Linked DNA regions of Macaca mulatta. The protein of the gene in region 1 interacts with the protein of each later gene in a biochemical or structural test. Links are inferred from orthologs where the notes say so. Each region holds a gene or a part of one and is shown on either strand. Other genes may lie near its edges.

Evidence for each region.
Region 2: of the proteins of MALT1 (region 1) and RELB, one has a biochemical effect on the other in vitro, tested with the Homo sapiens proteins (2 studies listed by BioGRID). The link is inferred for Macaca mulatta from reciprocal best matches to the Homo sapiens genes MALT1 and RELB.

The regions. Positions count from the first base shown.
Region 1 is NC_133423.1:22,266,704-22,270,529, forward strand, and holds part of MALT1 (mucosa-associated lymphoid tissue lymphoma translocation protein 1), read right to left. Parts: intron 2,212-3,826; coding exon 2,034-2,211; intron 1,313-2,033; coding exon 1,238-1,312; intron 413-1,237; coding exon 285-412; intron 1-284. UniProt on the Homo sapiens protein: Protease that enhances BCL10-induced activation: acts via formation of CBM complexes that channel adaptive and innate immune signaling downstream of CARD domain-containing proteins (CARD9, CARD11 and CARD14) to activate NF-kappa-B and MAP kinase p38 pathways which stimulate expression of genes encoding pro-inflammatory cytokines and chemokines.
Region 2 is NC_133424.1:57,550,649-57,553,576, forward strand, and holds the end of RELB (transcription factor RelB), read left to right. Parts: intron 1-1,639; coding exon 1,640-2,019; 3' UTR 2,020-2,421; downstream 2,422-2,928.

The DNA.
Region 1 (3,826 bases):
AAGCAGAGATCTGAGGATTCAACTTTTAATGACTGTGCCTAGGCTTAGCCTTGTAGTCTAAGTAATGCTGCACAGATGGTGGAGAGCTACGTCAAAAGGGAAAGAAAGATGACATTAAATAGCAGAAGTGTTGCTGAATGTTATATTAATATAAAAATTGTTTTATAAAGTAGATACTAATTCCAAACCCACATAATAAGAATTAAACAATCACCAGAGAGGGAATCCTGAATAGGTGTGTCCCCCCTGCTCTTTTTTCTGAGTAGTTCCTCTTTATTTTTTACCTTCTGCAACTTCATCCAGTAACACAGTGATTTTCTTATCTTCTAATAATCTATCTTTCAAAAATTTCATAAAGATTCCATTTGCTAATCCAGAATGCTGGATTTCAAAAGCTTCTGCTCCTTGACACCTTAAAAATAGAAAAAGAAGTTAAACCAGGCACAGAAAGGCAAATACTGTATGTTCTCACTTATATGTGGATGCTAATAAAAATGAACTCAGAGAAGCAGCCAGCAGAATGGTGATTACCAGAGGCTGGGAGGTGGGCACGGCACAGGGACTGTTAGTCACAGGGTACAATGTTTCAGTTAGGAGGAAAAAAATGGTAAGTATTTGAGGTGATATGTGAATTAACTTGATTCAATCATTCCACATTGAATACGTACATCATAGCATATCTTTGTATCCCATAAATACCTACAATTATAACTTGTCAATATCCAATAAAAATAATTTTTTAAAAAGAAAATGTTAGAAAAACAAACACTTGCCACATGGGACTTCTGTGTACACTGATGAGCCTCATTTTCTCTTCTGCCTCTCACATGACATCAATAATTAAAGAGTTAATCTTTAAGCAGGAACTACATGCCCAATTTGGGCTTAATAATAAGATACCACGATATGGAATGCTAAAGTTGACGATTTAAAATTTTCTACCAAGAACATCAAGGAGGTAAATTTATGCCTACATGTCTATAGGTATTTTCTAGGCCTCTAATCTAGAATCAAAAAGACCTCAGGAGCCAGGCACAGTGGCACATGCCTGTAATCCCAGCGACTCAGAAGACTGAGGCAGGAGGATTGCTTGAGCCCAGGAGCAGTGAGCTATGATGGCGCCTCTGCACTCCAGCCTGGGCGACAGAGTTAAGACCCCTGCTCCTAAAAAGCAAAAGCAAACAAAAAGATATCAAAGAATAAAGGAAACTTCAACGTAAACATAAAATTTTCTTACGTGGCATATCCAAACACAATATTGGCGGTGACTTTTAGTGCATCCAAGATTGGAATGGTATCATCGTAGTCATTTCTATTCAACGGAGGCAGAGAAGAGCAGACAGAAATATGAAAAGTTAAAGATCATCCTTAAAAGAGTATAAATAATGAGATAATACAACAGTATTTTAGAATACATAATTTAAAATTATAGATTCAAAATCTTTCATCTAGGTAGCTACATATCTACCCAAAATAACCCACTAACTCCTTGTTAGCTTTAAAACCGGAGTTGCATTTGAACTCTGGCATTGGATTTTGATTCGTAAATGCTGAGCAAGCAAAAAATAGTAAGTCTAGAGGCACTGGTTCTATTTCTTAGAAAGGCAATGGCAGATAAATGGGATCCAAACCTCCAAACATCTGCTTCGGCTACTCATTCTGTATCTGGAAGACCAGGACTGACTAGTGACCAGAAATCCCAACTCCATGGGTGCTGGTTTTGTTAATTCCTGAGGGAATAACTACAATGATTATTAAAGTCATCTAAAGGCATTCTGGAGAGTTGAATCCCCTGTAGTATGAGTAAATGCCCATGCCCTTTAGTTCTTTATGTTCTATAGCAAATATGAAGAGTTAAAATAATTAGATATACATGGAGTAAATATATTTTTCTCTAGTTTTGTTCTTCCAGTTTCGATGTATAAACTAAAATTCACACACGCAAATGGCTGTTAGCATTTCGCATGTTTCTCTAGTTTGTCAAGGTTGATATTTAACTCCAACAATTGTTTAATAAAGATTAGAAAATTTACCTTTTCCTACACATATCCAATAAGAATACATTAAGTCCAGTTTCTTTTTCTTGCATCAATTTCAGTATATTTTGTACACACAGACAATTTTCAGACCTATATGGATTTGGAGCATCAACAGGGACCATGAAGCTGTTCCCAAAATTTTCATAACCATGTCCTGCATAATACAATAACCCTTTGAAAAGAGGAAAATAAAAGAGAGGTAGATTTCAATTCTAAATGCACTGTGAACATACAGACTGCATAACTTTTTGTAAAAAAAAAAACCATGACTTTAATTTTCTTCAAGGTGATGTGAGCATATGTAAGAAATACCCAATTACAAATATAGACAATGTTAATTTGCATTTAAAATTATTGTAACAGGTCAGGCATGATGGCTCACACCTATAATCCCAGCACTTTGGGAGGCCAAGGCAGGGAGATCACTTGAGGTCAGGGGTTTGAAACCAGCCTGGCCAATGTGGTGAAACCCCATCTCTCCTAAAAATACAGAAATTGGCTTGGCGTTGTGGTGGGCACCTGTAATCCCAGCTACTTGGGAGGCTGAGGCAGAAGAATCACTTGAACCTGGGAGGTGGAGGTTGCTATGAGCTGAGATCATGCCGCTGCACTCCAGCCTGGGCGACAGAGCAAAACTCCGTCTCAGAAAAATAATAAATAAAAAAAGTATTACCAACAATCTGTACTTAAAATTTGCATTTTAAGACAGTAACAAAATGCTGTCTGAAGTATATCCTAATTTATAAAAGTAATATATTTGTAACCAATAGTATAATCTAAAATACAATTTTATTTTATGATATATAAAAAAGAATGCAGCTAGGATTTCTCTCCTGACTCATTTGTCTCCTCCATGAAGCTAGGAGTTCTGTTAGGGCAGAGACAGTCTTACATTTATTTATTTGTGTATTCCTGGCATACAGCAGGAGCTTAGGAAGTATTTAACAGATGAACAAACACACACAATTCAGATGAACAGCACCTGCAATATGAAGTTAAGAAACTCCACAGGTATTACCATAAACATTAGTTAAGGGTTATTAAAATATAAAGGTAGTTTTATAATCAGAGATGGGAAATCTGATTTCACAGATTACTGTTTTTTTCTTTTTGCTATGAGGTATGAATACCAATCTTCCATCTAGAGTCTTTTGAATTAATAATCTAAAATTTGCGATATTTTTAGGACTCAATAGATGAATCATATTTCCTTACTGAGAAATGATACTATAAAAACTAACACAACTCAATGTTTTCTTGAAAATAATTTTGTTTTGGCTGTAAAAAACAACAAAAATATCAGTCTGAACTTCTTCATAAAAATACTGGACAAAACACTTTTGAAGATATCCTCCCCTCTGCTTGCAATTTCTGGAGCCCACTAATTTTGCTCTCTCAATATTCTGGATTTAATTATTTCTTTACACGGTATTTTAAAGCAAACAGTAAAAGCCATTTAGATAGGGAATCCGAAATAGCTAATCCATTGTAATTATGGCCCCGACTCCTAGCAGAGACTGTGGCTTTGAGAATTAAAGACAATTTGCTGCATGTGGTCCTACAGGACAAAATCCACGTCGTCTGTTTTTTTTGAATTTCTATTAAAATGAGAAAAATGGTTCTTTCAAATACAACATTTCAGCTAAAATGAGAAAATAGATACAGCCATTTATCAAGTGTGGGTTCCAGCTCATGTGTGCTCTGGAAGTTATCACATAGGCACTGAGAGATGAAAAAGAAGGACGAAGACAAAGTTCCTAACCTCTAAGCAGGAGACCGGGAGATTC
Region 2 (2,928 bases), on another chromosome or scaffold:
TGAGACAGTCTTGCTCTGTTGCCTAGGCTGGAGTGCAGTGGCGCAATCTCGGCTCACTGCAACATCCGCCTCCCAGGTTCAAGTGATTCTCCTGCCTCAGTCTCCCGAGTAGCTGGGATTATAGGCGCCTACCACCACGCCCAATTAATTTTTGTATTTTTGGAAGAGCCAGGGTTTTGCCATGTTGGCCAGGCTGATCTTGAACTTCTGACCTTAGGTAATCTGCCTGCCTCGGCCCACCAAAGTGCTGGGATTACAGATGTGAGCCACCATGCCTGGCCAGAGAATCCCTCTTATAATGAAACTTTTTGATTTGATTGTTATTTTTTCTTAAGTCCTCATTATGCCTAAGAATGACTTTTTTTTTTTTTTTTTTTTTTTTGAGACGGAGTCTCGCTCTGTCGCCCAGGCTGGAGTGCAGTGGCGGGATCTCAGCTCACTGCAAGCTCCGCCTCCCGGGTTTATGCCATTCTCCTGCGTCAGCCTCCCGAGTAGCTGGGACTACAGACGTCCGCCACCTCGCCCGGCTAGTTTTTTGTATTTTTTAGTAGAGATGGGGTTTCACCTTGTTAGCCAGGATGGTCTCGATCTCCTGACCTCGTGATCCGCCCGTCTCGGCCTCCCAAAGTGCTGGGATTACAGGCTTGAGCCACCGCGCCCGGCCGACATTTATTTTTTCTGACAATTTTGGGACTGGTGACTTCCCAACTTGTGTCTCCCATGGTCTGGAGATTTCACTTTTTGGGTTGTCTCTGTATGTTGGGGGGCTTTGGAACCTCTTCTCCTTCCTCACTCTCAGGGAAAACTCTCCACAGCTGTGTAGGAGCATGGTTTCACATGCTAGTTCCACAACAGTTGTGTGAGCCTTCCACTGACTTTCCCTCAGTGCCCTCAGTGCCTTAGTTTACTTCTTATTATCACTACTTTTAGAGACAAGGTCTTGCTCTGTTCCCCAGGCTGGAGTGCAGTGATGTAATCATACTTCCCTGCAGCCTCAAACTGGGCTCAAGCAATCCTTCTGCCTCAGCCTGCCAAGTAGCTGGGACTACAGGCGTGCACCACCACACCCAGCTAACTTTTAAATAATTTTTTCGTAGAGACAGGGTCTGCTATGTTATGTTGGGATTACAGGTGTGAACCACCATGCCAAAAGGCTATATTCTTGGCCTTCAATTTAGTTATTATCTGAGAATGGTGATAGTCCCACATGGATTCTCCTTGGGATTAAGATGGCACCTTAAGGCCAGGCTTGGTGGCTCATACCTGTAATCCCAGCACTTTGGGAGGCTGAGGCAGGTGGATCACCTGAGGTCAGGAGTTCGAGACCAGCCTGGCAAACGTGATGAAACCCCATCTCTACTAAAAAGAATAATTAGCTGGGCGTGGCACGTGCCTGTAGTTCCAGCTACTCGGGAGACTGAAGCAGGGGAATCGACTTGAACCGGGGAGGAAGAGGTTGCAGTGAGCCAAGAGTACACGACTGCCTTCCAGCCTGGGCGACAGAATGAGATTCCATCTCAAAAATAAAAAAAAAGGCCACCTTGATATCACATTTTGCAGGAAGTGGGGCATTTGAATTAGGGCCTGGTCAGAAGTTGGCCCTAAATCACACTACACTTCTCTGTCTTCATCCCCGTAGGCCCGTTCCTCCCGCCGTCAGCCCTGCTGCCAGACCCTGACTTCTTCTCTGGCACCGTGTCCCTGCCCGGCCTGGAGCCCCCTGGCGGGCCTGACCTCCTGGATGATGGCTTTGCCTACGACCCTACAGCCCCCACACTCTTCACCATGCTGGACCTGCTGCCCCCGGCACCACCACATGCTAGCGCTGTTGTGTGCAGTGCCGGAGCCGTGGTTGGGGAGCCCCCTGGCCCTGAACCGCTGACGCTGGACTCGTACCAGGCCCCGGGCCCCGGGGATGGAGGCACCGCCAGCCTCGTGGGCAGCAACATGTTCCCCAATCAGTACCGCGAGGCGGCCTTTGGGGGCGGCCTCCTATCCCCAGGGCCTGAAGCCACGTAGCCCCGCGATGCCAGAGGAGGGGCACTGGGTGGGGAGGGAGGTGGAGGAGCTGTGCAATCCCAACCAGGATGTCTAGCACCCCCATCCCCTTGGCCCTTCCTCATGCTTCTGAAATGGACATATTCAAGCCTTGGCGAGAAGCTCCGTTGCACGGGTTTCCCCTTGAGCCCATTTTGCAGATGAGGAAACTGAGTCCGGAGAGGAAAAGGGACATGGCTCCCGTGCACTAGCTTGTTAAAGCTGCCTCTGTCACCACATGTGGGGGAACATTCTCCAGTAGGATTCGGAAAAGATTGTACATATGGGAGGAGGGGGCAGATGCCCGGCCCTTCCTCCCCAGACTTGAAGGTGGGGGGTAGGTTGGTTGTTCAGAGTCTTCCCAATAAAGATGAGTTTTTGAGCCTCGGGAGTTTCGTCTATTCTGCGCTTGGGAAACGCCCTAGTTCCTTACGTAGCAAAGAAAGCCTCCTGGCTGGGGGCTCAGGCCTGTCATCCCAGCACTTTGGGAGGCCAAGGCGGGAGGATCGCTTGAGCTCACGAGTTTGAGATCAGCCTGGGCAACAAGACGAAACCTAGTCTCTACAAAAAATACTAAAATTAGCCGGGCATGGTGGCGCATGCCTGTAGTCCCAGCTACTCGGGAGGCTGAGGTGGGAGAATCGCTTGAACCCAGGAGGCAAAGGTTGCAGTGAGCCTAGATCGCGCCACTCTAGCCTGGGCGACAAAGACAGACTCCGTCTCAGAAAAAAAAATAAAATAAAAAAGATAAAAAGATGGCTGTAACATTCTAGTTTATGCCCTGAAAAGGGGAATATAGTCATTCTATAGTGTTTGGAGATTTTGGGTTACCCTTAATTGTATGCAAGTTGTCTTACTGTGTATTGTCCCTTAATTTCAGGACTCAGATTT